Linked DNA regions of Drosophila melanogaster. The protein of the gene in region 1 purifies or fractionates together with the protein of each later gene. This does not show direct contact. Each region holds a gene or a part of one and is shown on either strand. Other genes may lie near its edges. The genes, in order: cmb and Rsph3.

The links.
Region 2: the proteins of cmb (region 1) and Rsph3 purify together in Drosophila melanogaster (affinity purification with western blotting, with the first as the bait; one study listed by BioGRID). This does not show direct contact.

Annotation. Positions count from the first base shown.
Region 1 is NT_037436.4:13,437,710-13,453,711, reverse strand, and holds cmb (combover), read right to left. Parts: upstream 11,119-16,002; 5' UTR 10,994-11,118; coding exon 10,724-10,993; intron 10,594-10,723; exon of another isoform or gene 10,413-10,593; coding exon 10,256-10,412; intron 10,024-10,255; coding exon 9,626-10,023; intron 9,500-9,625; coding exon 9,407-9,499; intron 9,345-9,406; coding exon 7,814-9,344; intron 7,704-7,813; coding exon of another isoform or gene 7,701-7,703; coding exon 7,432-7,700; intron 7,371-7,431; coding exon 6,829-7,370; coding exon of another isoform or gene 6,825-6,828; exon of another isoform or gene 6,751-6,824; intron 6,439-6,750; coding exon 5,328-6,438; intron 5,270-5,327; coding exon 4,667-5,269; 3' UTR 4,467-4,666; downstream 1-4,466. Other genes in the region: JMJD7 (jumonji domain containing 7), read left to right, coding at 3,453-4,403; CG14109 (uncharacterized protein), read right to left, coding at 11,408-12,085, 12,433-12,486; CG10140 (uncharacterized protein), read left to right, coding at 13,277-13,286, 13,341-13,562, 13,632-14,068, 14,131-14,355; CG10725 (uncharacterized protein), read right to left, coding at 14,737-14,961, 15,026-15,462, 15,521-15,667, 15,726-15,726.
Region 2 is NT_037436.4:6,756,129-6,771,323, reverse strand, and holds Rsph3 (radial spoke head protein 3), read left to right. Parts: upstream 1-10,209; 5' UTR 10,210-10,433; coding exon 10,434-11,383; intron 11,384-13,213; coding exon 13,214-13,304; intron 13,305-13,389; coding exon 13,390-13,805; intron 13,806-13,869; coding exon 13,870-14,392; 3' UTR 14,393-14,695; downstream 14,696-15,195. Other genes in the region: Ist1, read left to right, coding at 14,920-15,101, 15,166-15,195.

The DNA.
Region 1 (16,002 bases):
TTTCTATATGAATGGAGCGGAGTAACGGAAGCCCCCAAAAAAGTGTGCCAACTGTGGGTGAGGCTCTTTGTCGCCAGCTCAACCGTTTGGCCCATTCTTGTTGATAAGCGCAAAAAGCTGAATGTAACATATGTCGTTCAACCGCCCACCTGCCGAAACGCCCCCAAGGTGTTTTACATTTGGAGCTGTCGTGCAGATGATAAGCGGGCGTTTGTCCAACAATGAGGCAAAGTTGTAGCTCCAGCGATTGAAAAGCCATCTGCATAAAGGTTTAATTAAATTTCCATGACACCGCCACCGTCAAAGGTGCGAATGACATGCAGGTAGAGAGTGCTTTCAGTGCGGTCTAAAATCCCTATATACATAGGGATACTTACATACATACATACTCATGTATGTAAATAGATGAAGGAGCAATTTTGCGGGTAATTTGCGTTCCGTCGAGGGACATCCTCTCCACAGCACGCATAATCTCTTGGCCCCGTTTCGCCGCTAATCAGCAGTATTAGTTTTATATATATTGGGGGGTACTTAACTATTTAAATTTAAGTGCGTGAGCGTCGGTGACGTGGCTGATAACACCGTTCGTATTGCGGGCCAAAAATAAAATCGTAATGTGCAAAAACCGCCAAGTTTGGGCGCCGCCCAAAGGCCGTCTAATCCACGACTAATGCGCATTCTGGCCACGAGCATCAATCATCCATCATTTTGCGTTTGCCGAATGCAATTCCAAAAAGCCACACGCAAAGCACTCAAGTTGCTAGACAGACAGCTAAGACGTAGTGCGCAAAATAATAGCAACTAAATTATTGATAATCGACCAACATTTATGGAGCAGTTATTTAAGTAACACAAAGTTGCTAACAATTGGAAAACAAATTATGGTGACCTGGAATATCAGGTATTCTTCAGCCCATTTTTAAAATGAAATCAAAACGAACTGTTAGGGAAAGTAAGCTAATAAGATATTTGGCTGATTTTTTTTAGAATACAATTTGCAAGGTATCTCTTATATTGATAACGTGTTAGAGATTAAAATGCTTTTTAAAAATCAGTTCTTTTTAACAAAACTATGTTTTAAGTTAGTGAATATATCATATATCTTCTCAAAATATCTACGACCCTTTTAAAACAATTGAAATGCCATACTTCTGCATAACACTTAATTTTGATGAGTTGAGAAGGTATTCAATGATTTTCATGCAATGAGTGCTACTTTTTCGACCCCGACTGTGCCCAGAGGCGACTGTCGATTTGGCGTTGAGTGTGGTCAGTGACGGCGGGGCAGCGAGGTGCAAGAGAAAAGCGCGCCTAACAGCAGCAACAGCAGTGGGCCAATGACGCCTCCCACCGGCCGCCGCAGCTCCCCTCGACGCCCCACCCACTCGGGGGCGATCGCAATTTGACAGTGCTTATGACGGCGCAGCCTCTGTCGCCACAAAGAAGTACGCGCTGGCATGCAGCGAATGCAAGTGCGAGTGCAACTGCGAGTGCAGCGCCACGCGACTGACTCATTTCGGGGCTTGCCATGCAGCAGCAACAACTGTGCGAAATTTAAATAAATTGTGGAAAAATGCATTGCTCTGTGCGAGTTTGGCATTGTTTCCCCAACTGGCTTTTCGGCTTTCGGGTTTCGGTTCACACACCAATTGTTGTTGCTGCCCCTCATTTTTTTTTTATGACGCTTATCAGTTTTCAGTTTCGCAGGCCGAATTTATGTAAATCTTACAGCCAGTGATGGTATTTTAATTGCGTAAGAACTGTCATACGCACTGTTGGCGTTTGTTGATTTTGATTCTCTTTTTTTGGAGGGTATATGCGCTGCAGTCTATGGTTTGTAATGCATTGAAGGGAACTTTCACCGGAAGTGTCTATTATAGCCTATATCAGTTAAATAGCTATCAACATAAGACTCTATCAATCACTTTGGTTTATTTTTAAGCAGATTAGATTTGAAAATTTGTCTGATTGGAACTGTGTGTTTAGAGTCACAGAGTCTGATTGGCAAATTAAGACATCAATTTATTTATTTAAGCATAATTTTTTATGTTTCAGTTAAGTTAAACATTCTTTAATCGTTAGGGTGTGTAAACTTCGACGTTTGCAAGTATTTGCTTCAAAAGAGCATCGTACTTACTCTTTCACAGCCGCTTCATTGGCGTCCGACTGCTAATTGGACTGCAATTGGATTTAGTAATTCCGAAGACCGATATTTATAGGCCACGGAGTTTGCGTTCTTTTTTGTTTGCGCCCAGCTTCGCGAAGCGTGGCTACCAAAAATAATTGTTAGCTCTATTAAGACCTATTGGCTGGGTAGATCCAATTCACGCGGCACTTGGAAAGTTTGGTCACGTTCTCCTGGCAAAATGAAACAAACGCAGTGCCGCTGCAAAACTAGATATTCTCCGTCATTTGCGATTCCTGCATTAATGAAGCACTCGCTGTGCGGCGCGCGAATGTGCGATAATTTATTAGTGCCACATTTGCGACACAGATTTCGATTTCGGACCGCCGCCGGTGGCCACCAAGTCAATTCAATTTCCTCACGCGCACACCGCCTGACCCCTTTTGGCCACAAATAATAATGCCGGGCCTATGTCAGTCTATAAGTCTATCAGCACCAAATTTCGCCAAATCCCGTGGCCCATCGACACGATCCATTTAGCCACCCATCCATCCATCCGTCATCCGCCACCTGTTGCTCGAATCGCACCAGCTGAACTTCGAATCCGCGCGAATGTCGGGCATGCAAAAGAGGTGACGACCCTGATCCTCCTCTGAGTCGCTGGTGAAATCAATTGTATTTCACAAAACAAATAGAGCACCGACCGTATTCGAAAACAATTTGTTTCTATCACAAACACTCGACACGCGTCGTCTTGTTTGCATTCCAGTCCGCTCCACTTCCTATCCGACTGTCCGCAGCTTCGCGCGCGTCTTGAAAGTCCCGCACTCGCAAACACACTCGCGTCCAGTGGGACCGCGCCGAAAGCGCTGGAAAATACCAAGCGACTTGCAAATAAATACCACAGTTCTCAACACCATTGCAGTTTCAGAAAATACCACTTATATTTCTATACCACCAAATTCAAATTAATTATTAAAAGCAAAATCAAAATCAAAATGCACGCTAGACAACCTCTATAAGATAGATAGTAAGATCTTTCTTTTCTTAGCATTTTTGCATTTCACCGACGCGAATTTGACCCTTATCGATTTTTTCGGAATACCTTGCTTACTTACTTTAAAAACGTAACAAAAATTACAATAATAAATGTTTCAATTTAATTTGTGTATAATATATTATTTATTTAATACGTCATTTGGTGAAACTAATTAAATTCACTGCAGCACTTCAGTTTAACTTTCACTGAAAACCAGAACCCCACATTACACTGCGCTGATAAGGTCCACTCTAGCGGAAAATGCGTTAGTGCGTGTTGTTTACCGGCATGTCCGAGGTCGAAAGAGCTCTGGATGTTCTGCTCCAGGAAGCGGAGGAGCTGTGCATCGGGAGCAGCGTAGTGGAGCTGGACAGGATTCCAACCGCCTTGGAGTTTTGTCGGGAATTCTACTCCAAAAACCAGCCGGTGGTCATTCGCAAGGCACTCAATTGGCCCGCGATTGGCAAATGGACGCCAAAGTACCTGATCGAGGCTCTCGGGGACAGGAGCGTGGATGTGGCAATCACCCCGAATGGCTATGCCGACGGCTTGGCCACTCAAAATGGACAGGAGTACTTCGTTTTGCCGCTGGAGACGAAAATGAAGCTGTCCGAGGTGGTCCGCCGCCTGGATGATCCCACTGGTGCTGTCCACTACATACAAAAGCAGAACTCTAACCTCAGTGTGGACCTACCGGAACTGGCTGCTGATCTGCGGGTCAGTGATCTCGACTTTGCGCAGCAGTCCTTTAACAAACCGCCTGATGCTGTTAACTTTTGGCTGGGCGACGAGCGCGCCGTTACCTCCATGCACAAGGATCCATACGAGAACGTGTACTGCGTGATATCCGGTCACAAGGACTTCGTTCTCATCCCGCCGCACCAGCTTAGCTGCGTACCGCGAGGAATTTACCCTACAGGCGTTTACAAGACCTCAGATAGTGGTCAGTTCTACATTGAACCGTTGAGGGATGAGGAAGGCAGCGATCAGTTCACAGAATGGGTCAGCGTTGATCCCTTGTCACCCGACCTGGCCAAATATCCGGAGTACGCCCGGGCCAAGCCTCTGAAAGTACGTGTTCACGCGGGAGACATCCTATACCTGCCCAACTACTGGTTCCACCATGTGTCCCAAAGCCACAAGTGCATCGCCGTGAACTTCTGGTACGATCTGGACTACGATAGCCGGTACTGCTACTACCGCATGCTGGAGCAGATGACGTCCGCAAGGAGTGGCTAATAGAATCCGGAGAAGTATTTATTCTCAGGGATTGTTAGGTGAATTCAAAACCCTTCTTGTTTTCAGTGTATTTATATATATTATTGTTACATAATTTAGTGTTAAATAAAAAACTGATACCCAAAATGAGTTGCGAACTACGACTAAGGACACGACCATAAAAGATTTATCTTTTCCGAAATTCGTAAATGAAATATGAAATATCCGTACAGATGATGACTTCTTAAATAAGGAATGTTTGCTTTGTTGGGTTATTCTCTAGTCTATTCGAGACTGACGTCCTGTTTTTCTGCGCCGGAAGGCTCCGCTGCAGCCTGTCCATCTGCCTCCTCGTCGGGATTTTCGTTGTTCTCGCACTCCAGTTCGCCATTTCCCGCGGAGGAGACGTTCTTTTGGTCCGCCTCGGCCAAGTCTGCATCGTTATTCGAGTCCTGCGACTGGGATTGGGACTGTTTGCGCACACGCTGGTTCTTCAGCTTGGCCGGACTGGCTCCAGAAGGTGTCACCTTCGACTTGGTCTTGCAGCTATCCTGCGGCTGTTCCACCACAAACAGCTGCTCCAAATAAGAACGGTACCAAAGCAGGAACTCGTCCCGCTGTCGTGGTATGTCCATCTTCTTGATCTTGGCATATATGCGTTTGGGCGAAATTAGTGGCGAGCTGGCGGTCGAATTCTGGGCAGCAGTGGCCGTCAGCTTTGATACCTCTGCCAGTAGGGAGTCATTGATGACGGTGTTGTTGTGCGTCTGATTGCGAATGCGTTTGATAATGTACTCGATTAGTTCGTGATCCGGTGCCAGTTCTATGCTGGTCCCTGGTCCTGATCCCGAGCCAGAGGCTTGTTCTAGTTTTCCCTCGAGGATTTGCTGGTAAGGAAGACGCAATTATGAGTTAATCGATCCAGTTTACGAAAGCCTTTCTTACCTCTTCGTTCTCGGTCCTAAGAGAAGAGATAACAGCAGAAGCACTGTCCTCCATTTCATCCAGGTGCTGCCCGTTCTGTGGATTGGACAAACTTAGCTGCTTCACTGGCGTTCCTTTTTCGTCCTCGGGCCGATCGTTGTCTAGCTGCAGACGCATTACCTCTAGCGGGGTTTCACTGCGACTCTCGGTGGCCTCGGCGTCGCCAGTAGGTTCGTTCTCCTCCTGGTTAAGAGCCTTTCGCAAGCCGTGTGGTTCATGTGAGTGCTGCAGCTGCTGATTTTGTTGCTGTTGTTGTTGCTGCTGCTGCTGCTGCTGCTCGAAGAGTGTCTCCAGCCGGCGGTAGACATCCTCCTTGATTGATTCATAAAACTTTGTGGTGAACTTGTCGTTCTTCAGAGCGTTAACCAGCAGATTTCGATTCAGTTCCTCGGAGGCCGTTTCCTCGGTTTGCTCCATGGCATTTGATTCGTCCGCGGGCGATGCTTCTTGTCCGAGCGTAGGAGTAGTGTCCACTGGAGTAATCTGGGGTAGCTCGATGTAGTCCATGTAGTGAGCTGGAAGTTCGAAGTCGAAACGAAGATGTCGCTGCTGCAGAGGAGTAAGCGACACAGTCGAAGTGGTGGGCTTTGCTGGTACCTTGTTCCGCTGATACAGCGGACTGTTGCCATAGTTTACGTTCATGTTGAGATTGGAGGAGCTAGCCTGCTCGGACTCATCATCCCGCAGCGTGGAAAGCTGAGGACGGCGACGATTGCGACGTCGACCCGAGCCGAATATGACGTTATCATGGTTCTCCTCCACCTCGTCCACATCCTCATCGTCGTGGTCGCGAATGTGGCCTGCATCATCGCGCCAGTCCCTTTTTCTGCCCGAACTGCCGCTGTTGTTGAGATTATTGCTGCCATTGGAGCTGCTGCCATGCAAAGCGGTTAGTGGCGCCTCGAAAAAGTGACGACGCTGCTGCTGGTGGGTCAAACCACCACGCGTAGTAGGCGGAAGCAACTGGGGCGGCTGAAAGTAGCTGGGACGTGCCCGTTGTCGCCGATACTGCTGGAGGTCCACGTTCAGCTCCTCGTTGCTTTTATTTGATAAGAGATTTTGGCGCGAATGGCTGGAAGAGCGTACAGATATTAATGGGTTAATGCAAGCGGGTAGCAAAGAATCATGCAGTTGATAAACTAGCTAAATCTAGTGAGCGTTACTAAGTTAAGTTTTTCTATTCCATATATCCTTTTTAAATTGAATACACATCTTTTATAAATTAGCTTTGTTTACTGCCGAATAGGCACTTGCAAAACTTGGTCAGTACTTGGAGTTAGTCTTGGTTAGTCACTTTCAACTCTGTTAATGGGACACTTATCTGCAACGCGTGGTCGCACTTACCGGTGCACAGAATTGAAAATTAACTCTTCACAATAGTTTTATTTAATTTTTATTGCTTTTGACCCTTTTCCATCAAACAACCATTAATAAATCCAACACCAAAGTTATAAAGCATTACCTGCGGAAGTTGTCCCAGTAGTTGTTGGCTCTGTTTCCGGGTGGTACTTGATTGTTCAATGTAATACCGCCACCAGGTGCTCCTCCACCAGCTGCTCCCTCGGGCAGCGAGTGCAGATTGTTGGCATGCTGGTTCTGGGTTCGCAGATTCGAGTTGTTCTGATGTATCGTGTTGTTATGGTGGTTCATGAAGATGGGACCTGGACTTGAGCGGTAAGTAGGCGGCGACAGGGGTGTCTCGTTGTTGAAGTGCGTCGGCGGTGGCGGGGGAGCAGCATTGTTAAGGAACGGCTGCGCCTGATGCTGCTGCTGTTGATGATGATGCGATTCTGCCCCGCTACGATGACAGCTGCGCTGATAGTTACTAAAGGCGCTCTGGTGGGCACCAAAGTTAAATAGCTGCTCAGATTGAGCTCGACTGCTGCCCAGGCACAGATTGTTGGGCATCTGACCCATTCCAGGGCCCACCGGAGGCGGTACTGATTCCGAGCGCAAGCCGAAGCTGTGATCCTGGCATGCTACAACATTAAATCGATCCTGGAGCTGTGAAAAAACACTTGAATTAGTCTTTGATTAGGCTCTCTAATCTCATGGATTGTCTTACCGCATGTAGCTGGTGGTTGAGGTTGTCGATTTCGCGCTGTTGATGCCACAGTGCCTGGTTGCACTGGCACACAGAGTTGATAAGCATTTGCTGCGTCTGCATGAACTGCTGCAGCAGAACTGCGTCGGTAGAGGCATTCGATCCGGATCCATTTGAGGAGCCCCCTTGTTGGGCGGCTGGCAGCTTTTTAAACTCTGTGCCGGCACTGGAGCTCGGCTGACCGTAGACGGGCTGCTGTCCATGCCACGAACTTCCAGAGTTGTGTGATGCTGCTAGCGGATGCATAAAAATAAGCGTAAAACGAGGAAACTAATACATGAATTCAAGTTGGTAAAGTAAAGTTGGTAAATTTCCGCCTTTGTTGGTGGAATTAAAAACGTACCCCACATTCCAGGCACTGGTTGCATGGGGGGCGGCATGTACTGCGATCTATTGCTGCTGGATGGTATGCTGTCATTACCCAGGGATAGCGTATCAAGTGTCACATTCAGGTCATCTTCGTTTAGCGTCGACGGAGGAGCAGGCGGCGGTGGTGGTGGTGCCTGCTGTGGGGGAACGTTAGGTTGCTGACCTCGTCGTTGCTCCACCACTGTGTTGGCGGATGGAGCCCTCTTTAGGGTCGCTGAGGAAGCGGTACGTACGTTGGCGAAGTACTTATCGCTGTCAGTGTCGTCGTTTGCCTCGTCATCCGCCTCCGATGTGGTGTTGTTACTGGCTACGTAACGCTGCTCCAGTTCCCGCTGCTTCTGCTCGTATTCCGTTCGCAGGCGCTCGCACTGCGAGCGCAGTTCATCGCGCAGTTGTTCCTTGGTGGGCGTAGCCTGAAGAGAATTATCCACTTCGGATGGATCCTCTTCCTCGGTCATCCGCTGTCTCATGGGGGTGGGTGTTGGGGTAAGACTGCTTCTTTTAAGTGCATCATCGCCCATTTGAACAGCGGCGGCCGCCTGTTGTTTGCGTCGCTCAATCTCTGCCTTCAGGGCTAGGATACGGTCACGCTCCTTTTGCAAGCTTGCTGCTTCCGCTCTCAGTTCGCTCGTAACATCGTTCAGAGCGAATACGCGCTGGGCAATCTCGGCCGGCAATTCGCGCTCCACGCTAGTTCTTTCCTCACTACGCCGCTCTAAGGTGGAGCCCATGCTGGGAGTACTTTCTTCAATCTGGCTAACAGTGTACAGCATTCCCTTTAGTCTCGCCATCTGAGCCTTGAGTGCTTCTATATCTGCCGTCTTCTGGTTGATCATTGCCTGTGCGTGAAGTGCCCGTTGAGCAGCGTTGGCCGCCTCCTGGCGTATGATGGGTACGTTTCTCTGATACTCCACAGGAACAACACGCTCCTTGGGAGCCGCTGGGGCAGCCTCCTCTGGCTTGGGAGGAGGCGTGGGAGTCTCCTCTTTCTCTTTGATGACTCTAGCAGTCTCCCTGGCCGCACGGTTGATGCTGTTTAGTTCGTCCACCAGATTGCGCATATCCTCACGTTGGGTGCGCAGTGATTCCAGTTTCTCCTGCAGGGCTTCCTGCTCGGCCAGGATCTCGGGCCCATCATCGCCAAGCACCGTGCTCAGTTCGTTCTGGTTGTGTATAAAGGCGGTGAGATTCTTCATGCGCCCCACCAGCGACGCCATGTCGTCCTGTACCTGCTGCACGGACTCGTATTTGGGGGCCTCTCCCCCATTGACATTGTGGGGTAAGCTATCGGCTTGCTGGCGCAGCCGCTCCATCTCGTTAAGGTGAGTCTTGGCCAAATTTTGGATTTGTAACAGCTTCGCCTGTTCGTCGTGCAGGTGCTGCATGTTCCTATTGGAGGCTTCCAAGCGCTGCTGCAACTCATCGAAGCTGGGCGTGGTATCGGGCGTGGGCGTTTCCAAGACGCTGTGTAGGGACTGAATGGATTGGGCGCGGTTGTCGCTCATCTGAAAGGTACAAATGGTTTGAGTACTAGAAGGCAGACTTTTGGTTTTATTAACCAACTAACCTCGCTTAATGCAACATCCTCCAAGCTGGTCGAATTGACTACGCCTTCACCCTGATCCGAATTTGGGTTGATTTCGTGCACCATGTTGTTCGTCTGGGGCAAGAATTAAAGGATTTAGTTTCATTTATTATTACGATATAAAAAATGTTATTATCAATCTTATAAATGTTATAAATGTACGGCTCACTTGAAGTTCCTGACACAAGCTTTCAAACTCACCTCTACAACTTTCCTACTCGGTTGATATCTGCTATTCAGGTTCTCGTCTAATCCTAGCAGGGCGCGTAACACGTCAACCTGCGAGCGAAAACCTTCGGTTCTGGGAGCAAAATGGTGTACACCAAGAAGTCGGTGAACGAGTTGTTGCAGTCCAGCGGGGGTCAGTGGCGGTGCCTGCTCCTCGTTGCCACTCAAATTGCCGTTTCCGTTGCTGGTAGTTGCGTTCGGTATGACCACACCTACTGTGGCATTCGGAGGCGTCGATTGACGCAAACGCAGCAAAGCCGTCGAAGATGAGGGGGCGCCTGTGCTATTAGCTGACGAGGATGGCTGGTGCTGAACCCTCTGGACAGGACGGACGGGGAATCGATAGCGCTGCTGCTGTTCCTGCAGTTGCTCTGTAATGGAAAATAGCCAAAGATCAGTATGGATGTTTAGGTCCATTGCTAAATACTGCGCTGCGAACTACATCATCTCAGTGGGCGTTTATTTTCGTGCGCATCTTATTTATAGAACATGAACTGGCGCACCGATCTCTGTGTGGGCCAGGCCGATCACTTTGCCAGGTGCGGATATTGGAAATTGCTCAATTAAATGTGTATATTCCTCAACGGTTTCAGGACCCATTACCTGCTGTATCGTAGTTGCCGTGTTCGGCGGCCAACTGACGCAGTGCCTCGCGCTGCTGTTGCTGTTGTGCAGGCGACCTGTGATCCTTGCTAGACAGATGCTGCTCCGCCGGCGATCGATTCTTGGCGTTGGTGATGCGTGCTCGCTGGAGGAGATCCTTTAAGCAACAGTAAATGAAGATTAGCAGGAAAACCAGCACGAGGATTGCGGTAATTTTGCTGATTTTAGGTCTATATATATATATCTATTTCAGATATATATATATATATGTATAAGGGCGCTGCTCTGGCCGATCGAAATTCGTTGTCCGCAGTGGTTGAGTTCGCATTCGCTACTGAGCCAGCGGCTAACGAATTTCCGCAGGTCGCGATGAGTGTAAAGTGTATTTATAAAACCAAGAAGAGAAAGGTCTTGGTGTCTTCTCTTCGAGAAGATTTGCCATGGCAACCAGACGTCCGTCTAACTTACATTCAGAGTTTTCAGCGTCTCCCGCTGCAGCGTCTCTGGCTCGACAAGTTCCATGTCCGGTTCGCCCAGGTGCTCCTGCTGCCGGCGAGAGCGGGCCGACCGGCTGGATGTCACAGATGCACTCGACCCGGACGTGGGTGCTCCGTTTACAGGCGTTTGTTGTTTAGGCACCGCACCGGTTGCCCCGCCCACCGAGTTGTTGTTGCTGCTGCCATTGCTGCGGGCGCTGGCGTTGGCTTGGTCCACAACTACCTTGGGCGGCGGCGCCATTAGAAAATATATATATATATATTTGCGTACAAAAAACGACGCTACAAAATTGAAAAAACTCCTCTTTTTTGTACTCCCACTTTGTTTTTTTGCTTTGCGCACTCTGACAGCTGTTCCCAACCAGGGCTGGAAGCTAGTTAACAAGCCTACCAAGTTATGGTCACACTGGCAGCGGACGTTTTTTGAAATCGAATGTTTTCTAAAATTCAAAAATAAATATTATTTTTAGTTTAAAATAAAATGTATATCTGTAAAAAGTATTTTAAATGCTTTTGGTGTAGATAAACTAACGTTACTTGGTAATTTGATATCTTTTAAGGATAATTATTTATTTGGAGATTACTTTATAATATGTTCCTTGGATAATAAACATTATATGACTAGAGCCATTTTCCCTTTCAAGTTTGGACGTGCCTACTTTCCCTGCTTGCGCTGGATGATGTCCTCCTTGAGCGCACGAATCCGATCCCTCTCCGCCCGGAGTCCCACCGCTTGACCGCGTAGATCACTGGTGAAGTCCGTGAACATGTTAAGCATGGAATTCAGGAGCTCGGCGTTATCGGGAGCACTCGACGAGGTCGATGGATTCTCTTCTTGGGCACTCTCTACGGCCTCGCTGGCCACTCGGACTTCTGACGAGGTGGTCTGCCTGCTGGTCTGAACGGAGGTGGAGCTCTGGACCTGTACCGTTTGCCTGGAGGACATGTGCTCCTCGATCATCTTGGTGGTGTCCACCATGTTCTGCACGCGCTTAAACTGCGCCTTCAGGTTGGCGATCTCGTTTAGCTTCTCCTGCAGATAACTGGCCTGCTCCTCTTTGTCCTCCCCGCCCTCTTCCTCACCAGATGGTGCCTCTTCCCGGTTTGTGAACTCTCCAGAAGCACTGGCGGATGAAGCAACTGTTACTGTCTCCGATGAGGATTCAACGTGGGACTGAACCTCCTCCTCCTCGGTGGACTGCCGCACTTGTCGGCGCTGGGCATTCAGAAGGGTCAGCTCAGCGGCTCGTAAGCGCAGTGTCTCCATCTCCTCAAGCAACTGGCGGTGCTCCTCCTGCATCTCTTGCAGCTGTCTGTTGGAAGCAGCTAGGCGCTTAAAAAATACAAATAATTAGTTTTGAAAGCTTCAATAATGAAAAAATTGGTTTAAAAACATCATAGTTCAAAGACTACATTAGGGCATCAAAAGAAAAATGATTTTGTATATTATTATTAAAAAACTCTATTTTTTAGCTCACTGGTATAGAAAAAGCTTCGTACTTAAATTTCATTTCAACTGAAACATCTAGAGACTGTAGGCTTATTGGTGTGACTCATTCATTTTGTTGTCTAAAAAGAATGTGTCACGGTATTTATTTAACTTTACTGACTGTGTTTTCTTATTGTTTTAAAACACTTAAATACTAAGAGTTTTGCAATTTCCCGAAGACTCCAGCTTACCTCGCTCAAGGCGGCATTGTCCCCATTTTGAGGCCTATTCAGTTCGTTGACCATTTTCTGGGTTCCTGAGGAGAAGAGGGAATACTTGGTGTTATGTATATCGTGCACGTTGATTATTTTCTCAATACAAACAAAGGCCCATCGCAAGGCACTGTCTATAAATAAATGGCTCTTTGTTAAATTATTTTTCAGTTAGAATAGTGTCAGTCATCTTGGCATTTTTGAAGACAAAACTAACAAGTGCACTTATGAAAATGTACACCACAATACACCACATATATTATACTTGAAAATGCTACCTTTTAATCGTATATTCGAATCCTCCGAGCGATGAGCTGTGCGCACAAAGAGATGCCCAAATTTCAACTGAAACGATGTGCCGAAAACGAAAATATTTTGAATCGTTTTCGTGTTCGTGTAGAGTTTTTAGAAACAGCCGACAAGCTTTTCCACATTAATATGAAAGTCTACAAAGGAAACTTTTTTTATGTTTAGAAAAGGAAGGTAACAATTAAATTGAAAACATGCTTAAAACATTTTTTCGTTGTAATTGTAACAGAAGCATTTTCAAAAAAAAATTTAAATTAATTCATAAAAATATAGTTATAAATATAAACCCCTGTGTTAAAGTAAATGTACATCAATTGCATGATGATTTAGGTGAACCTGCTGTGAATATGGTGATCCAAATTTAGACTTCCAAGAGTCATCGCCTTTCCCACCAATTCATTTGCCAGTTGTTTGCAATGTTTACATCGATATAGTGATAAGATAATCTGAGGCTTGAACCTTATAAAGGTACATTTTCACAAGGGAAGAGATTCAGTTGAATAAAAATCTGACAATGAGTGGAGGTGTGCGGTTCAGAAGTTGGAATACAAAACTATTATAATTTTTCTGTTTTGCAGAAGTAATATGGTACTTTATCTGCATATTTTGCGGTGTTTTTGGAGCAAGACCCAAAGACTTGGACGTTTCTGGAACAACAGATAGCACCCTAGAAACGGATTCAACTACTTCCGGTCTGGAATATGGTCTAATTACGGGCAACTTGAGTATCTGCGGAAATGTGGCAGATAATGTGTTTCTACCATTTGTGGGGGACTGTAATAGGTACTACCTTTGTCGCTGTGAGTTTGGAGCTTAAGATCTTTATATTTTGGAATCTTTATCATAATATGTTTATTTATAATATTTAGCTGGACAAGCCATAGAACTGCAATGCGAATGGCCTTATGAGTTCAATGCAAATACCCAAAGCTGTGTACATCCTGGTGACGCTGATTGTCTGCCCACCTGCGAGGCTTTCAATTTCAGCACCTTCAGTTACCAGAGAACCTGTACGAGGTACGTGCTGTGCTACTACGGAAAACCCGTTCTACGGCAATGCCAGGATGGCCTTCAATACAACTCTGCCACAGATCGCTGTGATTTCCCCCAAAATGTCGATTGCGTGGAGTCCGAGTGCTCCATCTACTCCAATGCGTATCATTTGCGCTATGTTCCCAGCAAGGTTTCCTGCCAGAAGTACTTCATCTGCGGCAACGGAATTCCCAGGGAGCAAACCTGCACTGCTGGCCTCCACTTTAGTACCAAATGCGATTGCTGCGATATTCCATCTAAGTCGGACTGTCAGGTGGGTTAAGAACAACAGTACACTCCTAAGGGAAATAGTTGCATAACCCTTTTATTTTTTAGATCCCAGCAGTGGAAAGAAAAGTGCAGCAACTTTCACGACTTTCACCCGTTACTACTGTAGGAATCTGCCCCCCATCCGGGGTCCATTTCTATGTCCATGAGTCTCGACGAGATGCCTATTACTATTGCGTGGATGGACATGGTCTGGTTCTGGATTGTTCGGCGGGTCTTTGGTACGACCCCACGGTTCAGGAGTGTCGTGAACCCCAGAATGTGGGCATGTAACATGGTTGATCTGAATAAAAATTGTTTTTGTGACAAAAGTACTAAAGATGTTTCGATTTTTAAATGATTAAGCTAATTCGTTGAAAATTTATTTAATATTTATTTATTACTTAGTCCACTTCAACTAAAGTTTTATGTCCGAATAGTATGATTTTAAAATAAAGTGGTTATTTGAATATGTATTCAAATAGCTTTTTAACGTAAATTTCCCTTGCAACAAGTTCAATCAATCAATTGGTAGGTTTAAGATGATTGTAAAAAATAAGTGGATGCCTTATTTAAGACCCATTAACATAATCTGTCAAGCTTTTCTTTTCATAGTACGAGTATTATAAAGGCATTCGTTTGTTTGAAATCGTATTGGATCTTTATTTCGAGTAACTAGAAGCCCACGAGGTGTGGTTCACGGCACTCCTCGCGCTTGGCATCGAACACCAGGCCGGGTGTGCAGTCCAAGGTGACTCCACGTCCATTCAGGCAGTAGTAGTACGCATCCTGACGCTTCTGGTGGGCAATAAAGTGGGCGCCCTCCGATGGACACTCAATGTCGGCGAGACGTGGCGGAGCTCGGGCAAAGGGCAGGATATTCCGTTGAAGGCTCTCCACCTGAATGAAATGAATAGGTTTTTATGTGGCTCCCAGAAAACTTCAGATAAAAAAAAACACGCACCGTGCAGTTGACTTTCGAGGGGAAATCGCAGCTCTGAGTGCTTGGATTGTACTGCAGGCCACTTGTGCAGTTCTGGACTTGAGGAAGACCATCCATGCAAATGTAGTACTTGTCACAGCGAGCCTTGCTGGGTATGAAAACGATGTCATCCGGATTATTATTCCGGCTGCACAGATTGTCCACGCAGTCGACATACTGCGGATAGTCACAGCGATCGGTCAGGGCGTTGTACTGCAGTCCATCGGAGCACTGACGGATCACCGGAGTGCCGTCGAAGCAGAGAACGTACTTGGTGCACGTGCGATCGTAACAGAACGATGACAAACCACGGTTCTTACAGGATCCAATACACTCGACCTCCATCAGGGGAACACACTCCTGATCCCTCGCATCGAAGTAGTAGTCCGTGGGGCATTCACGGGGTACAGCTATCTCATCTGGGATAGAAACATGATAATGCGGTGAACTAGATATCCACAGGTGCTGGTGACTTACTCATGCACAGGAAGTACTTGCTACAGTTGCCCACCTGGGGAACAAAGAGATTGTTGACCACATTGGAGCAGACATTGACATCGCCATCAGCAGCGCTACAGCTTCCAAGCAGGGCAACCAGTGCCAAAAGGGTCAGGCGACTTATCACTTTGGAAAATAAACCAAGTTAGATCATTTCGGTTCCATAGCTGCAATTCATACTCACTATTCAAGGTTGGTTTCCTGCGGTTACTATCGTCTTACCTCGAAAAACCCCTCCATTTATAGGCAAACTCACTTGCCATTCAATCTGCGATTTGTTTTGATTCCGTGCAAATTTCCAATCTTATCGGATGTGGATGCATGTTTCCATGTGGTAATTGGATTGTTCTTCCTCATTCAAATTCGTCTGGCGGAGATAAGTTCGGTGAACAAGAGCCAATATTCAGGAACATACACCTCTGTCAGCCATTAGGAAACACGTGTATTGATGAGTCACAGTT
Region 2 (15,195 bases), 6.7 Mb from region 1:
GTACATAATGGAGGATCCCTCGTTGTCTGTTCCTGCGAATTGGGCCTGCAGCGGTGCCTCCGGTGGCTCAGTGGTGCCATGGTGGTGCAGTGGTTGTGTGGAGGCCGCCCGTCATCCAATGTCAAGTTGGAGCGATGGACGGACGAGGACGAAGAGGGAGGACGAGCTGCCTTCTGGCTCTAATCAGATTCAGATGTCGTCGAAAAATGCGCGACGCGCTGGCCATTTTAGCCAGCATCGCGTAACACGGTAGTTGGGCCAACTTAGGGCTCCTCGGCTGCCCTCCGTTTCTGTTTCAGTTTCTGATTCTGATTCCAGTGGCATGCAGCTGAAGCTGAAGCTTGAGCTGAAGAAGAATGACGAAGTCATAGCCGAGATGCGTCAATTTTAGATTCAACAAAAATGATTGCAATGCATGTTGGGCCCGGATTCCGTCCTGGATGGATTCAGGATTGAGGAGACGAGATGAGACGAGACGAACAACCAGTTTGGTGGCACAGACCGACCGTCTGTCAGGGGCAACTTGTGAAATGCCAATTTATTCGTTAGCAAATATTGCATCTGATAGAACGGACCCCGAATGAAGGCTGGCTGGCTTTGGCATTGGCTCTGGTTGTGGTTCTGGGTCTGGGTCTTACTGGGTCTTTTCGGGCCTGAACCCGAACTCCAGGCCTCTGATTTCGATTTCGAGTGGCAGTGCAACATATGCAGACATGACTGCCAGGATCTCGGGACTCTCGGGTCTTCTTGGCTACTGAATCATGTGTAAAAATCTTAAGTGCAAACAATTGTACGCGTTTATCGTGTCTCTGGGGCGACGACCACCATTGAAGCTCCATCGGAAAACACAGGAGTCGAACAGAAAGGGCAGTGGAGTTGGTCTTTTTGGGCGGACAGCGGAAGAGCCCAGGAAGAGATTCCGTTTAATTAAGCTTGCTGATTCTTTAGGCGGTTTTTGTTCTCTCGTCGTTTTTTATTTTATTTTATTTTATTTTTTTGAGTAAAAATTGGTTTAAGCACTTTTTGGAAAGCCCTTAAGGTGGTACATCGATCCGATCGATCGGCTCAGTTTTGCCAAAAATATCCATCAAATTGATCAATGCTCATAAATCAAATGCGGATGCCATGGCGAGTATTATAAAAGTTTGACTCGCTTTTACTGGAAATTGCCCGCAAGAGGGCCTGGCTGTCTGAAATTAGTTTTGCCCTTGCCTTTTTTCGTTTGCCTGATGCGTCCGTTATGGCGACGCACGCTGACCCAATAATTACGACCCCCTCCTCAATCCACACCTAACCAGCCATCCAGCCAGCATTCGGTCCATTTCGGCATCCATCCATCCATCCATCCTCCCGAGAAATTGAGAGTGAAACTCAAGCGCAGACATTCTATGCGATACATTTATGTTGGTATTTTCGGAAAGCCCGCGGCATGTTGAACATTTTTGCTTATCAGTAAGATACAGCCTTAGGTTTTTCATGTTACCGGATACTCTGCAAACAGCTTTGGGGGATTTTTATTTTATCGAAATATAAAAATGTATTAATTCTTTCTGTTCTTCATACAATGAAAAATATATAACTTTATTATAATATATTTTATGATCATTAGAACTAAATTCATATTTAGTGGCAAATAATTGCAATCATTAATCGAATAAATTCCAGCTTGTGTACAAGCTTTTCTCTTTCTAAGAGTATCAAACCTTTTACTTTTAAATCTGTACATCCCATCTAAGACTTCGCTCTTAACTAATGTTCCAAATGACTGACTAAAATATAATTTTGTGATTGCTGGCTATATAGCACGCGTCACACACGCAGCTAAAATTATAAAGCCGCTTAAAGTGGTTGCGTTATATAGGAAGATTTTGGGAGAAGTTTGGACCGCGGGCGAATGTCACACCACGCGATAAGCAGGGGGTTTTGGATAGACGTCTAGACGTCTTCTAGAGGCTGAGATTAGAGATTGGTATTAGGAATTTGGTGTTTTTGGCTTTTTGGATTTTTCGATTTCTGATTTCGGTTTCAACCTGACCGGGCTAATCAATTTTAAATGTGTTTTTGCGTGTCAATCGCTTGTTTGCGTGTGCGACTTTTATTGATATGCTTTTTGGTCTTTTGATTGTTGCCAAGGCATTTTGGTTAATAATTATTACCTGACTCGACTTGGCTTGCCTTGAAGTCAGTCCTCCATCTCCTCGCTGATAGTTTCTCGGTTTCTCGATTGTTTTTCTGAGTGAAATTCATTTGATTTATTGCACAAATTATGGAGACAGCGAGCTAGCTAGCTGGCCAGGTCTATTGGCCATTATGCAAGACAACAACCTGAAGCGGTGGCAAGCGACAACTATAACTATGTATAACCACGATGAGCTGGGCAGTTGCCTTTACACTTGTCTCTGTCTCTTTGGCGCATTTTTACAAATTTGGCACGGCTGCCCATAAAAATTGGTTCGAATAAAAAAGTGTGAAACTGCAAATGGCGTCGCCTTGGTTAGACGAGTTCTTGACTCGATTTGGCATACCAACGATTAGCATAGTTTTCTGTTCAGTCAGATAGCTATATGTATATACTCTATACAGCTGCAACATTGTATCTAACGATAGATATATCAACTGCAATTCGGGGCGGCCAAGGGGGCGTGGCCCAGCCGCACGCGTTGCAACGGAAGTCCAGCTCATTTGGCCAGCGAAAGAAATCGAAAAACGCGGCGCGAGCGGAAGGGATTTCTTTTTTAAACGCATCCTGGACACACGTTCGAGGACAACTTCATTGATATATGGTTTGTTTTTCCTCCTTTTTTTTAGACCCATCCAAACTTCCTGTGTGCAGCCTTTTGTTTGCCAGCAAACGGCCAACGAAAAAGTGTAATAAATATTCTCGAATTTTATTCCGGCAAATGGTGGGGGGGGGTTTCGTTTTATGAACTTGTCTAACCATTTTCGAGCACGCCCAGCTACCACCAGCCATTAAAAATATATAAGAAGTATTTTCAATAATTAAAAACGAGTTGCTTTTTATCGATTCATAACCCCCCCCCCCTAAAACAAATAATAAATAAGACCAATAAAACCCTACAAGGAACTACGTAAAGCTGTTCAATATTATGAATCAGGTCTGATTCGTTGAGAGCCCCACGCAGCGCCACCCATGAAAAACAATGAAAAAAAGTCTGTAAAATTCCATTGATTGGTTAATTTCTTTCATAGTTTTCTCGATTTTTATGAGCCCACAAAATGTCTTTTGTGGAATATGCTCCTTCAATGGCGAGGCGAATATGTTGACAATAAACAATGGATAGCCAGTGAAGTGGATGACTGTTGAAAGTTTGATGAAGTGAGATCGCATAGCCCGATATTGGAATAGTATTGCTCATAAGACGAGAGGGGTGAGCCATTAAATACCAATTTGTAGGCAATCGTTAAGTCATAAGAGGATAAATCAGAAGTGTGGGTTTCGAATAGCTGGCGAATAGCATGAAATTGTTCTATGAATATGGGATTTGATGATGATTGGCGTAGAAACTTCCGGCTGTTGTAAGAAATTGGGTTGTAAAAGTTGAATAACATTATTAATAAGTTACAAAACTATTTATTGTGATTAACCATATCAATCAATCTTAATTTTATATAAAACATCTCCGTTAAACCTTTAACTGTAAAAGTTATTCTTCAGGCTTAATGTGTTGAACCCTTTGGAAATTTCTTAACCCGCTACGTGACCAAATTTCCGAGTCCCGGTCACGCGCATCCTTAACACTTGTTCCCGATGAAGTCGCAACAGGAAGAGCGATTTCCACACCTTACGGATCGCTTCCAGGAAAAACGGAAGTCATCTTCCAATTGCCTTGTAGTGTGGCCACAACAGATTATGCTCAGCTAATAAAGATCTTCGGATTTTTAACACCACACGTAGTCCTTGGAAATTTTCTGACTAATTGAGTTATGAGGCAAAACAAGCCAGCACCCAAAAGATCGATTACGATCGATGCCCAAAAACAATGTTGTTTACAATTTTTCTAGGTAAAATCGGAGAGTTTTGCACGTGTGTAACAGGTAAATTCCGTTGAAATCTGTCTGGAAAGTGAAGAGAGAGAGAGAGTGAAAGTGTGCCCAGCAGGAAGATCTTTATCCTGGACATATTGTTATTATCCTTGAAACAGGAGGCTGATACAGGTGGCGCCTAACGGTTCTTCGAGTCATAACATCCCTATTTTATTTATGTGTGTGTGTGTGGGAAGGTGAAACCTTTATTGCAAGCAGAGATAAAACAAACTACCAGGTGAATAAATTTTGTATTTTAAATTCTTGATTCTCTAACGCTTCTAATCGCTAGACTCTAATCATCTGCATATTTATTGGCCAAAGTGAGAATCACAACTCTGTCAGAGCAACTTTACAGCTTGTAATTGAAAAATTGCGGCTTTTCCAACTGCATTTCATTTTCCAACTGACAGACAAACAAAAAATCTCAGCTGCAGCCAATGAAGTTTGCTATATTTTTTTTCTGACCCTCTCTGTTGAAAAGGGTAAGAAACTATTCCTCGCTCGAGAGGGCGACTCAATTATGAGGAATGGTTTTTGGTTTCGGGCTCCTAAGCCCGAGCACTGCCGCAAACATTCGCATCAATTATGCATACGCCAACGCACACAAAGGACTCGGACTCGGCGCAGCTCCCGAAATCCTTGCTGCCCCCAGGATTTGAAACTTGCCTCAGTTCAGTTCGGTTCAGTTCAGCTTACCGCATGGCAAATTCGACGAATTTCCTGCGGTTTTCAAGCATTTCACTTGCCCTGCAAACGTAGGGACAAGCCTCCTCCTCCTCCTCCTCCTCGACCGCAAACAGCATTGGTCGAATTCAATTTATTGTAAATGTGCAAAAGGATTTGTTGCGGATCGGGTTGCCCGAGAATGCGAACCCAAAATGCAGCTGTACTCGAGGCGAAAAATGGGGGAACAGTTGTCCTTCTCGTTAACATGGCACATCCGCATGTCAAAAATGTCGCACAAAAATCAATCGGACGGCCATTCTGGGGTCCACTGGGGGTCCAAAAGGGAGGGTCAAGCGTACCAGGAACCCTGGTTGGAAAAAAAAAATCCAACAAAATTTTAAACAGAAATAAAAACAAAAAGCAGGCAAAAGGCAAACCCAAGCCAACTGAAAAGCAAATTAGCAATTCCGATGCGACCATTTATATTGTTCATTCTCATTGTTGTTGACGATCGTCTGATCGCGTTTATATTTTTATTTCATTTTCTATTTCCCCCTTAAGTGTGTATCAGTGTGTAAGGAAAAAAAAAAAAGAAGCTTGCTCGGTTTTTTTTTTAGAATTATTCCGCCGTGTAGTTGGAAGCGATCGTTTGGAAGCAAACGGATTTAGCTGTTATCAAGTCGCCAGCGAAAATGCAAATCAGACGCACAAAAGTCAACCGAATGGCGAAATGTAAGGGGCGGCAATGTCTAATGTCTGACTAAAACTAACTAAAACCAACAAAAACGACATTTTCACTTACCTCGCACATTTGTCAGGCGAAGAACGACGAGGAAGTTAAAGAGCCATTTATGCTCCAAATGTCAGCAATCAATAATACTCGGAAATATTTCAGTCATGCAAGCTTGTACCCCCGAAAAAGCTACAAAAATGTTTGCGTGTTTTGCATTGCTTATATATGGGGCTTGTCATTAGGAGAAAAATGGTTATATTTATTTTAATTTGCCTGAGTTTGTTTATCGGTTAAGGTCTGGAGAGGGCCAGCATGTAGATTATCAACAGAAATATTATCTGACAATTTAAGACAGTTCTATACCCATGAATTACTTTCTATAACTTCTTCAAATATGGCATGCAATTAATCAACAATCAGTTTTCAGTTTTGTTTTAACATTACTACAAGTACTCTGTATTTGATTTATTTATAAATTTCATTACCATAATCCAGTTTAATTTCCGTATGCACGATAAATCATATTAATATGAAATAAAAATTTTAATAAAGCAGTAATCAAATTAATTTTTTAAAATTTGCATTATTTGATATATTTAAATCATTACAATTTAAAATTTTTATACTTCTACTTTAGTTTTCTTTAATTTCTTTGAAATGACTAATGTGGTGAATCTAGGCCACTCAATATTTTCCAGATTACGCTTACATTTATTTTCACAGATTTACCCATAACTACATATTTTATGATCCTGTTGGCGCCACAGTCGCACATAAATAACTCATAAAAAAGTGCCCACAACAGCAGCCCGCAGATAATTCAACAATTGTGTCTGCCGAATGTTTTTTACGATCCGCAACCGTTAGGAACCCGAAGATCACTTTCCCTTCGACAAGCGGTAATAAATTAATCAAATCCCGTGCTGGACGTAATTTTTCCAGGGAAAATTGCAGCTCACACCTACACAGTGAAATGGATAGTATCTTGAGGAATATCGAGGAGTATCCGCAGTAAATGATTTGTTTGACAAGAAGCCAACAAACTCAGTGGGATGCCTTTGCCCGGTGACTTCGCAGAATCCGTATCGTATCTGAGCAAATGATCGGGAAATTGCGGGACAAGATCTCAGTCGCCAGTTGTCGCCTGTGTGGCCATCATTAACCTTTGAACTCACTAAATGGCCAAAGGACCACAGCGAATGTCAAACGTCATGGCCACTTATCGAGTGCGGACTGTTGTTCCTGTGATCTTATTAGGCATTTTCGGGAATTTCAAGGGGTTCGCTTCGGACGCAATTATCACCCCCGCATAAAGCGAAACGTCATCGTTGACAGCCACGTCATTGTTGTCCAGTCCGAAGACCAAAGTCCTTCGAACTATTTGTTAATGAATAGACAGAACCATACAAAAGATTCTGTGTAACTCGAAACAGAAAAAGGGGGTCAATTCAAATGACAAACGTTCGATAGTCCGAGATATGATAAGCCTTGAAAACCTAATTAAATGACACGTTCCAGGGAAATTCGATTCAGGCGTGGCTACATCGAAACGTTTTAACTGATGGCAAGCGATTTAACTTAGTGATAAATAGTTTAGAAAATTCAAAGTCATTTTAATATCAAGGAATTAGTGAGATTTTTTGATGTCCCCAAGGCAATTGTGCAACCAAATAGACCAAAAATGTAATTTATCTGCAAACTTACCACTAATCGATGATAACAATTTTGAAATAAAATTTTTTTATAAACTTTTTTCTTTGTTACTGTAAACTATTTAATATTAGCCAATAAATAGTAGCATTGAAAACTGCTTGCAATTTAGGTTCGGGTTTACTGCTTGCTGACAAGTAAAACAAAGTATACATATGTATAATATACATTTTACTGTAAAAAAATATTCACATTGTAAGTGTATAATGTCATGTAGAAAAATATAGTTATTTTGCTTAGGACTTGTAAAATGTTTTAACCATTTTAGACCTTAATGAATAATTTTAAAAATTGTAAAATTTATACAAAAAACATAAATAATTATTTTTCTGCCATCCTGCTTAAATTTAACGATGCGCTTAAAGTGTCAATTAAAAATCTATCTATGAATCAAAATCCCGAACAGCAGCTGTATCTGCAGAATGCATGCAATGTAGTTGGAATAATAAATCAGTAATAATAAAATGATAATGATAAATAATAAATAAATTATATTGGTATTTGGTCAAGTCCAGCTAAAAGCTAATAAAGCTCCTTAGAAAAAGTTGCTTTGCATTAGTTTCTCCTTGCTAGGAAGATATAAAAATAGATTCCTCATACTGAATGATAGTTAGTTGTGTATAATATATGGGAATGTGTAGTGACCATTCGCTAAGCGAAAGTTAGAAGGAAAAATTGCAAATGTCTCGATAGACTTTCAGTCAAAAAACGAACAAAATCTATCGAGTGTTAATACGAATAAAGTGCATTGCCAAAGACCCATCCCCACACAGCAACAGTTTAACAATGCCGACTTTCAATTCCCATGGCAACTGAGGAAATTCCGCCGTCGTTGTTTATTTTGGATACAAATTTTTTGATAATACAATATTTTTTTAAATATGGAGATAAAAACATAGGACAAAGAACTCCAGTGAAAATGTGTCACATAAATAAATCTATTTTGTACACATAAATTTGGCAAGCGGTAGACCTTTATCCGATATATATATTTTAAGTTTTTAAAAACCTCAATAACGCAACATAGCAATAGTTAGCAATGCCGACGATCCCGAAGAGGGATTACAAACCCAATGGTGGTGGCAAAAGCTCAGGAATGGATTTCCTCAGTTCCGGCATCAAGGGAACCGAGGTCACCGAGATGCAGCTCAAGTGGCACGAGAATCCTTGTCCAGCGCCACCATGCAAACAGGCATTTTGGTGGGCCAGCCATCCCAAGCCGATCAAAATCAAAGGTTGCCCCAAGTAAGTATCAAACAGAAGCCACCCAAAGAATTTCCCATGCTTCCCTGTAATTCCCTGTAATTTAAGTCCGACAAGTAGGGTATATTGAATATTTCGTAAAATTATATTATAATATTAATCAACTTTCTTACTTTCTTTGTAATTTATATAATATATAATAATTCAATAAGTAGTTAAGAAATCATTTATACGCTACAAATATGAACCATTAGAAATTGTAAGCTCGAGTTAATTATCATGGGTATTACTCCTCTTGTAATGAGTATCCTATAGTTGCAAAACCATTGCTTTTTGTAACGCCTTGCAGGGGAATTTTCTACACCTTTATATGTCTCCCCACTGGGGTCAATGGAACCCAAGACCAAAAACGAAAGTCATAAATTGCGTAAATAAATTATTAAACGCTGGCCGTGTTCGGCTGATGGTCAATACAATGGCCCCACTAAAGGACACGCAAACTTGGTACGATTTTGAATAGAAACATTCGTGTTCTGAAGGGAAACAATAGAAGGAGTGCACAGGACAGGAAATTATGAGGAGTGTGGAAGTCGATGAGTGCTTAAAACTATTGTAGAAATTGACGCACTAGTATCATAAAAATATACAAATATATCTGACTACCGATAATGACGGGGGCTGGACTTGGGTCGGATTAAGGTCAACCAGGGAATAAGGATGATCCCCAAATATGATAAAAACCCAATAAACTATAGTGTATCTAAATCCAGTTGTAGTAAAGTGCTCATTCTTCTCTCAAGCTAAAAATCGAATAAATACTACAGTGTGGTATATCTTATATCTTATCATTTATTCGAATATATTAGTACATCAATTCTGAACTGTATATGTTCAAATTAGGATAAGAATACCGTGCTTTAGGTCAGCCAACGAATTTAATCATATAGAAGTATGATTGAGTGAAAGAAAATTACCTTTTTTAACAACAGGCTTTACCAAAAGCTTTTGGACTTCTGATACATTCTTACCAATTCCTGTTACAATAATCTTTCATCTATTCACTGACCTTTCTTCATTGCCAGTAAAAAAGAGTGACTCCTTGGAGTGCCAAGAAATCTACTTAATTATGCTTAGTTCCCTGTTGAATTCCGCTTATCAGGCAGTCCAAGCAATTGACCTTGGCCATTGACAATACCTAGGAGGTGTTCCAAGTAATAGAGAGCCACCCACCTCCTTTTTCAATGTCAGGCAGGGAAATGCGTGAAGTCATCTCCGACAATGTGAAAGGAAATGTGGACACCATCGAAACAAATTCAAGGTCCCTCCGCCGGGCGAAACCTTTAATTGGAGACCCCAACGAAACTACTTGGATGGAAAAGAAAAAGCTCTTATGCAAAGTAGAATTCCTGGGAACGTGGATTTGGCCATGCCAATGCCACCGACTGTTAACAGTTCGCATTATTATTGCAACACCTGCCCATCATGTGCCTCAAACTGCGAAGCAAGCGATACACTCAGAAAAAAATTTGAAAAATATGTGTATATAGTATAGAAACTTACATTGTGGCACGCACGCGAAGTATTGTTATTTAAACTTATGAAACAGCAACATGAATAGTTTAAATATGCAATTTTCTATATAAACCAATTGCAGCACTTTAAGGATATTTTTACTAAAAATGTCCTTTGAAGTAACAGCTCAATTCCTGGAAAGCTTTAGTCGTGGGCAGTAGGAGACTATATGTTCCACATATTTTTCCAACTGCACGACGACTGCTGACCACGGGCCGAATCCAAAGTCGAAACCGGGTCCGAGCGCGAGTTCCACGAGTCCTGCGAGTCCTTTGGTCATTTGGCGTTTGCCATTCGAGCCGTGCGGTACGTGTTCCGCGACAAAATCAAACAATCAACCAACGAACGCAACACCTGAGCGGCGCACAAAAGGGAAAAATATAGGAAAAGTATTGATTAAGTTTTTCGGTGCGGCGGGTGAGAGAACCGTGTGGTGGCTATTTATAATGAACGAGGTGACCGGCGGCCGGGAGCAGGGATAACCGAGACGGTAGCGGAGACCATGCCAGAGACGGAGCAGCAGCAGCACCCAGCACACTCACATCCTGAACTTAAGCCAGATCCACAGCCAGTGCCAGAACTGGAGCACCTCACCGACAATAGACCGAATCGCGTGCAGAACTTCTCCTTCGCCAGCAGCTATCCCTACGCACCAGGACGCGTCTCGTCCAGCTCCAATTCGAACACCAACTACAGCTCCACCAACTACAACGCCGGCGGCTTCAACGTCCAGCGCTATCAGAGTCCCTACAATTTCCAGCACGTGGTGACCAACGCATTCTCGGTGCTGCGCCATCAGCCCTCCGAGGAGCCCGAATTCGATTCCTATCCAACGCGACCCCAACAGGCCATCGTGCGTCCGATTAGACGTGAGGCGGGCATAGCTGATAACCGTGATAATCATGTAGGGAATCCTCCACAGCGATCGCACTTCTCGCGCAGCAACCAGGAGGTGCGCAGCTTCGCCGATGAGCTGAGCCAGAAGCTGCGCTTCCTGGCGCCGGAGGAGCAGAACTACGGCGGTCGCCAGAGCGCCAATTCCGGTGCCTGGATGGATCCAGCGATGTCGCAGCGACCACGATTCGAGACCACAGTGCCGCAGGGCATCTTCCTGCCGCCTCCGCATGAGGTCCAAATGATACCGGCCACCATGCTGAGGAGGCATGTCTACGCCTACTCCTCATATCCCATGATCCTCCAAGGGTATCTCACCAAGGAGACCGGCAGTGAGAGCAAGGAGCAGAAGGTGACCGCCACCCGGCTGAACGGTTTGCGTGCCACGGCGGCAGTGGCGGCGGCCACAGCTGCGGCCTCCAAATCCTCCCGTAACGATACGCAATCCCTCGCCGGTGGACTCCACATCACCAAGGCTCAGTTCCAACAACAACTGCAACAGCGTCGCTCCACCAGCAACAACAACAACAACAGCAGCAGCAACATCAGCGACAAGAGGTAATAAAAAGACCAACCCCCAAAATGGTATGGGTGCTAAACTTGGAAGTAAAAAAAAAAAAGGTGGGAAGTGGAAAAGGTCCGACAACTGACCAAGGCAAAGTGGGCCAAAATATATTACCATAAATTCAAATGAGTAATACGTACGTACCTACACTGCCATTCTGCAATGGAACCAGAACTTAGCTCCCCACTTCAGTTCCTACGGCCATTATCGATTGACACCCAAACAATTCAATTACAAATAGGTTTTGTGGTTTAAAGTGCCGAATTGAATCCTTCAAGGATTTGTTATCTAAACTGATATAGATTCAAGATGATACCTTATTGATCTGTTTTTAGACTTTACTATGACACGCAAATAGAATGGAAGGCTCTTCATCAGCCAAGTTTCTTGTGTGGCTCACCCACTTTCACAATTAACTCTTTAACAATTCAATTAGAAATGCTTTTCCAATAACATTCGGACATTGTAAATTCCCTGAACGGTTTGATTAATTTATTTAGCGCATTCTCGAATGGGAAAACTCGTTTGCCTTGCATAAAAGAACATGCGAACAAATGGACAAATGGACAAAGGGACAAAGGACCCTCGAATGTGTCGTGCCAGCGGAGAATATTCTATATTCCCAGCTCGGGGCTTAAATAATTTAAATCAAGATTTCGTAAACAACAACAATATGTACCCATTGTACCAAAGCACAAATGGAGGGATATTAAGTTCAATTACCACACCAGAGAAGAAGGACACCTATGGCACAATAATAAAAAAAAAAAAAAAAACAAAAAACAGGTCCTGCCGGTCGTTTTTACCCAAATGGGATGTTGTTCGGCCAAATGGGCTATACTTTTTGGGTTACGAAAAATGAAATATCACACTCAACGTTTAAATAAAGAACCTATTAGGGAGATAACTATTTTATAACTCAAAAAGGATTCACCAACTTAGATTTTCGTTCAGACCATATATCCCTCATAAGGACATCGCACTAAGGGTTTCCCGTTCCATTTGCTGATGTCTGTGGTGCGCAGACCCAGACCCAGAGAAATGTTGTTAGACATTCGCCAGCAACTTCAATGTGACTTCCTGTTTGTGGGCCAAAAGTAGCTGCGAATTTGCATAGGTCACGAGTTCAGGTGCCAAGTTCTTCTAGTGCAATGTCTAACTACGTTATATACTACTTCTACTCGCAGTCAGCATGTATGTATCAGCATATATGTAGAAATGTAAGAAATGTTTGTTTCCCCATTTACTTGCCGGTGCTATACATATAAATTAGCAAGTCATAAATTACTCAGCCACCGCGGACTGGACTCGTGGAACTTTAAGCAGGCTTTAAACTCTGACCCAAAAGTGTACTGAACTTTGGCGAAATTGATTCGAATCGGAGATGACCTGACAAGCAGTCTGCGAGGGCGTTGGGAAATGAACAAATTTGATGTTTATCGCCTTGATAGTGCAACAGATTTGGGTCTTGGCAAATGCAGCAAAGTGCACTGAAACTGCAGCAAATCAAAACTAAATAAATAAAATATTTAAACTTTAATAGAAAGAAGTTAACAAATCTAAAGATAACTAAAACTCATACACTTTTAACTTGCTTTTCCAGCAGCAATTACAATATTTATCCATACATAGATATCATATTTATTAGAGAACTTAACCATTTATGTAGTAATCCTTTTAAGTTGCACATTTACGAACCTTTTCAAAAAGTCTGCAGCTTTTTTGCTGCATGAGCAGTTTGTTGAACTGGGTCGAGGCTTACTAATTGGTGGCTCCCACCTGGGCAACTCCATGCCCGCTTCTCCACTTTGCTCCTCTTGCAGACCCGTCGTCCCGCCGCCGGAACCCTACAAGAACGTCATGTACGACCGTCGCGTCATAAAGGGCAGCAACTTCGGCAACGCCTCTCTGGTGGTAAGTCCCATCAGTTCAGCTCAGCTTAGCTCAGTGCTCTGGCAGCCCTGACCTACGACTAATCCACTTTTTGCTTCCTCTCCAGACGGATGTGGATCCCTTCGACAAGGCCGCCGAATTGAGGCGTCGCAATATGTTGCGCAAACGGACGATGCAGTGCCGCAATCAGAGAAATGTCCTGGGCACACCGCCGCCGGTCAAGGGGCGGAAGCACGAGACCATACAGACGGAGAAGTATCTGGAGAAGTTGGTGCAGCGTCCGCCGGAGTTCACCATCGACACGCAGACGGACCTGTTCCTCGAGAAGCCGCCGACGCCTCCGTTCATACCGGCCAAGGTGGGCGTGGATGTGGCCACCGAGATCGGTGAGGGCGAACTCTTCCACTTCGATGCCGAGGCGCAGCCAATCATCGATGTCCTGGTGGACGCCTGCATTGAACAAAGCATGCTGGAGGTGGCTCACGAGATGGAACTGTCCAGTCTGCGACGCAAACAGGAAGAGTACGTATAAAAAGTGTAAAGTAAATCTTCAGATTACTATAATGGCGTTTTGTGTTACCCACAGATTCCTGGCCCAGAGGGAGGCGGAACTGGCCGAGCTGCGCCGTTTGGAGGCTGAGGAGCTGCGCTTGCAGGCGGAGAAGGAGCGTCGCCTGCGACAAGATGCGATTGCCAAGGAGCTGGACGCTGAGATGCAGAAGAGCGTGACGGCGGCCAAGTTGCTCCAGGGACACATTGCCAGTCTGGTGCCGGAGGTGCTGGAGAACATTGAGCCGGCCAGCGATGCCGTTAAGAAGGAGCAGCTTATGAAGAGCGTCTGCCCGTGGTTGTCCGCCGAGGTGGCCGAGGAAGTGGGCCATATAGTGGACTCGCGCGAGATTCTCACCGCCATCATTCAGGAGATTATCAAGCAGCGTGCCGAGATCTATGCCGGCTACAAGGAACCTGAATCGGAACCATCCGGACCGGATGCGGGCGTTTGTGAGGAGGAGGGCTGTGCCATCGATGAGATGGAGGCGTGTCCCTGCGAATCGGAAACGGAAATGGAGGAGTGCCCCGAACCGCCACCACCGGCTCCTCATCTCTAAGTGATTGCGTTCGAGTTTTAGTTCATATATATATTTCGAGTGGGATACTGATTCCGCACACATGTAACACTAACACACTCCTGCTATTAAATCAAGGTTGGCTGCAACTTTGTGGTTGTGTCTGGTGAAGAACTCAATTCGCCGCAGGATTCGAATCGAGCCTGGGCGCCAAACACAATTGCATAGCGGCGGCGGCGAAATGGCATCGAAAAAATGGAATGGCATATTGTAAACTGGATACTTGTTAAAGGTTTTTGTGTTACCGAAAATTCAACCAATAAAGCTCAACAAAATAAGCCGAACAAAACATTTTAGAAAATATTTTAAACGGTTGTTAAATTAAATTAAAATATTAATAGAGCCAAGCAATTTGAAATTTCAATGTTACCTTGGTATTTAAGGGGTCTGCATGTACGGTCACACTGCACGTGACGTCACATTGTTTTTTCCATACCGAATTAATGAATCACCACTGACCGAATTTCCTTGTTTTCACAACTAATTCGGAAGTCCAGGGTGTAGTGAAGATGTTTTCCAGCGGCCCCAATTACAACAAACTGAAGACCAATCTTCGATTGGCTCTCAATCGCCTGAAATTGCTGGAGAAGAAGAAGGCGGAGCTGACGCAAAAGTCCAGGAAGGAAATAGCCGACTATTTGGCCACGGGCAAAACGGAAAGGGCGAGGATTCGCGTGGAGCACATCATTAGGTGGGTGCAGGAATATATGAGCCATTCTTATACCTCCATATATCGTATATATCGTACATCATAGGGAGGACTACTTGGTGGAGGCAATGGAAAT